Linked DNA regions of Oryzias latipes. Each later gene encodes a partner of the first gene's protein in a complex. Links are inferred from orthologs where the notes say so. Each region holds a gene or a part of one and is shown on either strand. Other genes may lie near its edges.

Region 1 (4,248 bases):
TCAGTCACCATTGCCAAACATAATATATTAACATAGAAAATAAAGAATAGAGGGGAAAAAAGAAACAATGAACATAACACACAAATAAATAAAAACATAAGTAAAATAAAATAAAGGAACATAGAAAAAATCTAAATAGTCTAATACTAGTTAAGTTAGGGGTACTCGTGAAGTTTGTATTTCTGAACAAAACTAAGCAATTTCAAGCCATTCTTCTTTTTCATATAATGAAGTGATTGAAAGTAAAAACAGAGCTCTTTATTAAATGTTATAAAAAGTGGTTTGGTCTTCAAAACTTGACCTCACCAAGATGGCGGTGCTCTCCTCCTATGAGGAACCACGTGATGTCTCCTCTAGTGATATAACTCATTGGAAGGACCCTGAAGGACCCCGAGAACATCCGGCAACCCGAGAACATCCGGTACCCACACCGGAAGGGGGCGCTGTGGACCGTGCTAACCATAGAAGAAGAACGTAACCCTTCCGGGGGGGGGGGGGTCCAGATGATCGATATGGAAGGTGAGTGGAATCAGATCCAGCTTAGAGGACCAAACACGGAAGGACTGGCGTCTGCACGAGTCCTTTCTGGAAACGGTGGGAACATCCGGTCACGTGACTCGTCAACCCCAACTATGCAGAATTTGAGCGAGTAGTATCGTGAAAAAAGAACACTTCGTTCGTGAACGACAGGAACGGAAGAAAAGCGGCGGGGTTCCGGGGAGCAGAAGGGAGGGGGGGGGCTTTTCAACAGTCCAGAGGTGGATGGGGGGGGGGGGGGGGCAGCGGGTGGAAGAGGGTTTCAGGTGTGACCAAAGGTCAGGTGTAGCAGACTGGTGAGAGCCGCCAGAGAGAGGAGGAGGAGGAGGAGATGAAGATGCTGAGGTTCTCTCTGGAACCAGGATCATAGATGTTCTGGAGATGAAAGCAGGGATGATGATGATGATGATGATGAAAGGCTGGAGAGGCTGGAGACACCAGGAAAGAGGAGGTTCATGGATGAAGGAGGACATGAGGGAGGAGGCTGAGTCACTGCAGCGCCCCCTATAGGGAGCAGCAGATTAGTTTGACCTCCAGACTGTAAAGGTGGAGCTCATGTTCTGCTTTAGTCTTCATCTTTCATTCATGTTTGTTCCCTTTTGGGGTCATGGGGCTGCTGGAGCCTATCCTGGCCACTCGTGGGTGAAAGTGGGAGGCAACCTGGACAGGTGGGCAGTCCGTCGCAGGGCCACAATCACACACTCATGCACACTCACACCTAGGGACACTTTAGAGTCACCATGAAGCATTAGTCTGCCTCTCCTCCCTCATTAGATTGATCCAAACACCACCTTCACCTCTCCACCACATTCTTTCTACTGTATCCCACCCCCTTCAAGCTCCGCCTTCTTCAACTTTGCAGCACGATATGTCCCATGATGCTTCACTGTGGGAACCTGCTGGTGAGGCATGAAGTGGATCTTCACTGAAGGTCACCTTGTTAGTCGTTCCTGGTCGTCTTTTCATGATGTCGTTTTCTAACACGTAGTTTCTGCAGAGCGGCCGGATTTCATTAGAAATTCACCTCCGTGTTTTGGGGGGAACTTTTGGGGCAGAGTAAGCCTGCCCCCATTTCCCATCAGGCATCTGTTCACACTCTCTCCCACTAGCTTACAGTCCCTCAAACCCTGATATTAGTGGTGGAACAGAAATCTATCCAGGCGTACAGTTTAGATCCAGAAAACAAAGATGTTTATCTGCAGGTGGATTATCAGAAGGGGGCGGAGCCTCTGCCCGCCGTAGTGGCTTCCACATCACACTGACAAGCTTTTTGAATGACAATGATATGAATACAGAAATCCTCAGAAATGCAGTTTGAATCTTAAATTTCTTTAGAAATGTCCTCCATCATCAGAGAAAAGCCACAAGAACACGTTAAAACACCAAAAACAGCATTTTCCACGGAGCCACGCTTTGTAAGTCTGCAGGGTTCTCATGCCAGGGTGTTTGTTTGACAGGGAGATCATCAAACAGGAAGTGCCATGCAGTCACAGGAAGTGCACGAAAGGTCAGAGATAATGCTGCCGACTGGCACAACTTGATGCTGAGGTGGGACAAACTGAGCGAGGACGGCTTTGACGTCGCAACCAACATCGTCAACATCAAGAGGTGATTGTGTTTCTAGACCGTACGCCGTCACAGGAAGTACTGGTCCCTCCAAGATGACATCACTTCCTCTTTGTGCCAACATTGTAGCCATTGAGCAACTTTATTTAGATTTTCTTCCGTAATTCGTATGTTTGTTGTTCCAAGATGGTAAACTTTGTAATTCATTGTTAAATTATCAAAATAAATGTTAACATTTCCCGACAGCTCAGCCTCCTTTACGACACTCCCTCCCCCCCTCTCCTGGTCGGGCTGGGGAGGATCTGGTTCCCCTTATGAACACACGGTTCACTTTGGCAGCGTGCATGTATCTCCACCCCCACCTGCACGTGCACACTGCTCCCTGTCTGCCCCCCCCCCCCAACCCACAGTGTCTTGATGGACAGATGTCTTCAGATTTTCACCTTGGATGTAACATTTGTCTTTCCAGCAGATCTGGTAGAATTGTTACAGCTTAATATAATAACTTATTCAAATCAGTGCTTTTATCCCCCACTTTTTCACCTCTATTCCCTTTACTCCCCCCCCCCCCACACACACACTAAATGTAACTAATAAATAAAAAATAATAAAGTAGCAAAAAGGGGTTTATTCAAATCTACACTCTGGTTTCTGGAGTTCTATAACCTCTTTGTAGTAAATCCTGTCCAACAAAAAGGCCTTCAGCTCTGATCTGTTTGCTACGACGGAGTTTTAGGGCCACCAAAAAAAAAGTTAAATTACGACATTTTATCTCGTACATTTACGAGAAAAAAACTCGTAATTTTATTATTTATTTTTTTTGGTGGCCCTAATACTCCGTCATAGTTTGCTCAGCTGTTGGACAGAATAAGTTAAAAAAAAACAGCAGAGAAGTCCCCCCCCCCCCGATTACAGCGCCCAAAACTAAAAGACCGTCGCTGTAATGCAGCAGTGTACATGCATGTATGTATATACATGTATGTACACTGTATGTACATGTATTTACTCTTTACATACATGTATGTTGTTTTTTTCACAGACAATGAAAATATCAATGATGTTACTCAGAACTGATCTTTTTAATTATTTTTTTTAATTATTCAACATTGAATCACAAAGTTTACACCTCGGAAGAACAAACATACGAATTACAGAAGCATATCTAAATAATGTTGCTCAATGGCTACAATGTTGGCGCAAACAGGAAGTGACACAACGTTCCCACATGCGGGCACCAATCGGCGAGCCGTTCCAGATCAGGTAGCTACATATGACATCACAGGAAGTCCATGTCTGCGCGCCTTCAGCTCACTTCCTGTCCGTCTGCAGAGCGTTCTGCCCGACTACACCTGTTTGACCTGCAGGTGTCTCCTGCCACTCAGCGTGCACTAATGTCCTGCCCGTCACTCAGAAGGTTCTGACCCGTCCTGTGCTCCTCAGGTCTCAACATGAGCAGCTGCTGGTTCCTGAAGCTTCATCATCGTCTTCCTCCTCAGCGACCCTGCAGCCCTCAGGAGCTGCAGAGCTGCAGGCTCAGTGCCTCAAACTGCTGGACATCGTGGAGAAAATGGTGAGTTCCTTCAGACCTGAAGGCACTGAATAAAAGAGGAGGAATGCATCGGAACCAGAACTGGACCTGCTGTGACCGACCAGAACATACAGACCCAAAGCCACACCTCTGGCTCCTCCCTGCTGCTCCAAATTTAGGAGCATTTGGAGCCATAGTGGTGTCCGAGAGTGTTCGTTTAGGGGGAGACGTAGCGACCCTCCGCCAGTAGGGCGTTCGGCGGCGTGCTGTACCATGGAGAGGCTTTTCTTCACGTGGGCGTGGTCTGACGCTCAGAAATGTCATTTAACGATTTTATAAAGTTATCAAAGCGACATCATGTTTTCCGAATGCTGGCAGCTACACGCTGACGGCGACTATTCGTGACGTCGTCTAACTGTAGCAACGTCCAGATTTGACGACTCTATTTTCCAGAACTCTCCGCCTGCAGGGCTAAATGGAGGGAGAAGCCCGAGGCAAAGAATCAGGATTCTTTGTTCCTGTCGTCTGACACCCCTCCCTCAGTTCTGGACTGGGAATCTAACGTGCGTCTTTGATGTCCTCTTTTGCTCAGACTGCCATAGTGGCCAGGATGGAGC
Region 2 (4,517 bases), on another chromosome or scaffold:
GAAGATCCATTCTGATGAAAAGGGCGTATTTAACATGTTCATTTTTCTGATGATGGAGGACATAAGTAAAGAAATAAGGCTTAAATAGCATTTCTTCGTATTTAATTTTTTCAAGCTATTAAAAAATGCTAAGCTTTAAAAGATGCATATTTAATGAGTTTTGATATCAAAATTTAGATTGTTTTTTTATAGCACTTTTTCCATCCACTTCTTTATGATCCGGTTTATTGCATCATTTCGAAGGAGCAGAACTTCCTTTTTTACGTATAATTATCTTTTTAGCAACAAAACAAAAAACACAAACAGGAAATAAGCGATCAGTAAATTTACAAACAAATTCTAACTAGTTTTTGAGCACATTTTTTTATTAGTGCATGAAATTGCACATATAAGGAGAGGAACTCTTGTAGGGTCTTTCATGAAAAAAAACCTGCAATTTCCAAATGATAATAACAAATTATAACAGCTAAATGAAGTTATTTTTTGTTTTCTTTGGATTGTCTTGAAGACTCATTCATCCAGGTTGATTCCATCATAGTAGTAGGTTTAGGGGCTGTCATCTAGACTTAGTTTTTAAAGTTAGAAGATGTTTCACCCCTTATCCAAGAGGCTTTGTCAATTCTGAATTAGCTGGTAAGAGCTGGCATATATATATATATATATATATATATATATATATATATATATATATATATATATATATATATATATATATATATATATATATATCCCCAACCTGGTCAGCTCTTTCAGCTGTTACTGACAAAGGTTGAACAGGTTCGGTTTGTTGGGTTTCAGAACACTTTATTTCAGACAACAAACTGTAGGCCGAGCCTTTACTTAAGCCGAACTAGCATTGTCGTTTACCTTCGCTGTCGAAATCCTCCAAAAAAACTTCCAGTTTTTCAATTTTCTGGTTGTTCTTTCGCTGCTTCGTGGTCCTTTTCCTGGGCGCCATGTCCGCTCAGAACTTCACAAACAGGAGAAAACTGTGAAACGTTGTTTTCGAGATGGAAAAAAATAAGCCGCCGAGGACGTTAGCAGCTATGTTGTTAGCTTTGGAATCGGCAGGAGTTTATCCGGCAGATTAATTTACTCCCGTTTTCATTCTTTGGTCTCACTTATGATATAAATGTTTTTAGATTCAATTCGTCTGAGTTTGAAGCGGGTTTTCTTACAAAGGTAACAGTTGTGTGGGTTTCCCTCTGGCCTGCCTTCTTCGCGAAGTCGTTTTCAAATGTCCGCGCGAGGCGGAGCCAAGACACAAATCCAGCCAATCAGGACGTGGATTGAGCCCCGTCATCAGGGTTCGGCACTGCGAATGTTCAATGCTGCGTTCGAAGACAACTCGGGAAAAAATGAATCGTCCCCTGATGGAAAGCGTTTCAGTAAGAATCAAAAAAAGCATTTTTGTAAAACAGCTGAAGGGCAGGAAATACTAAAAATAGTCACCAAGTAAAAAGTTTTTTTAACTCACAATTACAATTTACCCAATTTAACCAAGATAAATAGCAACTTCCTACAGACATGCCTGTGATTATAAATATAAAAAAAAGTTCTCAAAAAGTCCAGAAGCATTAACAAAACCAGTGGGAAAATATATCAATAAAATGTATGTATGTGTGTATGTAGATTTAAAAAGGAGAGCACGAAAAAATACAATTTTCCGAAATCAAGTGCCTTTTTTGAGGAGCTACTGTATTTATGGGGCACCGTATCTCCAAGGATCAGTAAAGGCAGCATATGTCACTACTTGACACCGGAAGCGCTTTCTGGTTCTGCGCAGAAAAGTAGTGCAGAATTTTGCTGAGGCTTTCAGACTTGGTCAGAACTATATTTACAGTCCCATCCAAGCCAGAGCGGAGGCCGAGGGCATGTCTGACATCTCCCGACCGACGCTCAGCGCCCTCCACCAGGCGTTCAGGAACAGCTTCGCCGCGCTGGAGAGCAACCAGCGGCTGTGGGGGAGCGAGCTAGCGGAGTGCAGCCCTCTCCTGGGGTCTCTGGGGAACCTAGCGGAGCAGATGAGAGCTCTCTCTAACGTGCGGGTCTCCAGCACGCCGCTCGGAACCTTCCCGAAGCTGGAGGAGCGGCTGCGCTTCAAACTGCAGGAGGCCGCGGACACGGTGCTGGAGAAACTCAACGAGAAGATGTGAGACACGCGACAACTCCACACACACGCGCCTCTCGGATGACGTCATCACAGGGACTCCTGTGACGTTGAAAAGACTATTAGCTCTGTTTTTTGTGACAGCATAAAAAAAGTTTGTTTCAAAATAAGAGCTCCTGTAGTACAGATACTAGCACCAAACCATATATTACAATTTCCGTTTAAAGAAAATATTAAAGATAAAACCCCAAATCAAAATAAGCCACATAAGACCTTTACCAGAAACTAGAACCATCATTAAGCTACGTTCACACCGCCCTCAGCGATGCGCGTTCAAGAAACCACCAATAAAAAAAATGTAAATTTGCATTTTGGTTTAAACTCTTGAAGTTTCTACGATAATTTCTGAGCTCTGTATGTACAAAAAGTGCATCTATTAAATGTACCTTAAAAGTTAAACCAGGTCGAACTTTGACCAATTAGGGACTCAGATTTGGTAGTGACGCATGGATGGCACCCCTTTAAATTTACGGAAACACCAACCGTTTGAAAGTTGACCATGGAGGACAAATTAATGATTTTGATTTGATTCCAGTCGGAATATATGACACTAAATCTTTCATATATTGGACTAGAGATGCGAAAAGAAAAAGCCTGGAGTCAGATATACAAGAGATTTGCACCACTTTGACATTTCGCACCAAGACTCTGCCAACTGTAGGTGGAAGACAAGTCATGGTCAATTGTAGAAGAAGGAGAAGCCCCAACCCACTAGCACTGTGTGAACACTATGGGTTAACATGTTCTGGAACGCGTGTCTTTTTTTTTCTTTTTTTTTTTAAATGGTTTATTTCAACCAATCAAATAAGAACAATACACAACAACAATACAATCATCAGTTATACATTCATACAATGACGAATCAAACTTAGGATATTTAGACATATTAATAAATATTGCTTGAAAGGGAGTGGAAGGAAGCGAACGTATATAATCCCACCCCGTTATACCGTGTCATATGCCAGGTGTGTCCATAGCAGAGACAGTGCTGATGCATTCAGGGACATCATGGTTTTTTCTTCTGCTCCTCATTCACAGCAATTTGAATAAAGACATTTTCAGATTGCCAATTTTAAGCATACTTTTCTTTATGTATGTCCTCGATCATCAGAAAAAGGCCGCAAAAACTTGTCAAAACAGATAAAAACATGATTTTTATCAGTCTTCAAGGGCTTCCTTGTCCGAGGACTAAGACAGACTCCTTTCCTTCTCAGGTGTCGTCTGCAGTCTGCCAGAGACGCCATCAGTAACCAGGTGAGGTCCGTCATGCAGCTGTATGAGCAGAACGCCACCAGTTTGGACCTGCAGGCCGTCACAGAGCGCTCCGCCGTCACCCCGTCAGTCGCAGACATGCTGGAGTGGCTTCAGGACGCCGAGCGCCACTACAGGCAGCAGTATCCTTCCTGTCTGTGCTGTTGGTACGGTCCGCAGCATTCATGGACGGCAAGGACCGGATTGTTTTTGCAATTCTTTTTTTCTGAGAGCGAAACGGCAAATGCTAAAATATTTACCAAGATCTGCACAGACCCGGTACCCGCTGCATAGGAAGGCTTGACATAGTCCACCCCCTACACACACAAACAAACAAACTAACAAATAAAATAAAATAAACATTCCAGTGGGAGAAACCATCACAAAAATGAATGGGGCAAAGATCTCTAATGGGGTTCAAAAAATATATTTCAAATCCTTCAATCAAAGCCAAAACGGAGGATATCCATAGAAAACTTTAAAATTATGATTATGATCATGCCCTCCAGGGCAAAACAAAAGTTGGCGGCGAGGGCGGGGAATGGTAGAGCCAGCAGTCTGTTTTTTTGTTTCTGTCTTCTGCTCTCCTGAGCTCATGTTCAGATTCCTGCAGAGGAAAGTTCTGCTGCAAACGCTCAGACCCAACGACCTCGCTCTGCTGGAATCCCTTCCTGAGAGGTGGAAGTCCCTGGAGTCTCCTGACGGCGAGCAGCGAATCACAGGTAACATTAACTGTCCGAAGCTTGAAACGCGAGCTCCGCCAACTCTGAGATGTGGGACTCTTGTCTCCTGCAGAAACACTTTGCAGAGTGTCATTTTTCCTGGAGCTGGAGTGAAGACGGAGGAGCAGAACTGGAACCAGAACCTTCTGAGCAGGACAGAAGTCAATGATGCAGACACGGAGAGGAAGACGAGGGATTTGAAGACACTTCATCAAATCGTCTTTATTGTCTACTGAACACAGTCGGGTTCACTGCAGTTGCAACACCACACACGTCAGAGAGGACAACTGCAGCCAATCACAGCGCAGCGGCGCCCAAAGTCACACCTGGCGGGGATCCTCCTGCTACACGTACTCCCTCATGGGGAGGCTGCT

What was found.
Region 2: the proteins of cinp (region 1) and c11h1orf109 are in contact, whole or in part, in a cryo-EM structure (PDB 8RHN), measured with the Homo sapiens proteins. The link is inferred for Oryzias latipes from reciprocal best matches to the Homo sapiens genes CINP and AIRIM. Residues at the interface, in NP_116019.1 of Homo sapiens: Leu161, Leu162, Thr165, Glu169, Asp177, Leu178, Leu180, Ser181, Tyr182, Ser184, Met185, His188, Pro190, Tyr191, Val192, Glu193, Ser194; in NP_001289959.1 of Homo sapiens: Leu107, Gln110, Ala113, Ala114, Asn116, Leu117, Phe119, Val122, Ala124, Leu125, Phe128, Pro129, Asp130, Leu131, Arg134, Leu135, Lys138, Gln139, Ala142.

What each region holds. Positions count from the first base shown.
Region 1 is NC_019880.2:161,094-165,341, reverse strand, and holds the start of cinp (cyclin-dependent kinase 2-interacting protein), read left to right. Parts: upstream 1-1,221; 5' UTR 1,222-1,405; coding exon 1,406-1,439; intron 1,440-1,994; coding exon 1,995-2,145; intron 2,146-3,543; coding exon 3,544-3,673; intron 3,674-4,223; coding exon 4,224-4,248. UniProt on the Homo sapiens protein: Component of the DNA replication complex, which interacts with two kinases, CDK2 and CDC7, thereby providing a functional and physical link between CDK2 and CDC7 during firing of the origins of replication.
Region 2 is NC_019869.2:20,075,544-20,080,060, reverse strand, and holds the start of c11h1orf109 (uncharacterized protein C1orf109 homolog), read left to right. Parts: upstream 1-1,455; 5' UTR 1,456-1,874; coding exon 1,875-2,152; intron 2,153-3,384; coding exon 3,385-3,564; intron 3,565-4,024; coding exon 4,025-4,143; intron 4,144-4,216; coding exon 4,217-4,257; 3' UTR 4,258-4,487; coding exon of another isoform or gene 4,488-4,517. Other genes in the region: cdca8 (borealin), read right to left, coding at 868-958; claudin-4-like, read right to left, coding at 4,488-4,517. UniProt on the Homo sapiens protein: Part of the 55LCC heterohexameric ATPase complex which is chromatin-associated and promotes replisome proteostasis to maintain replication fork progression and genome stability.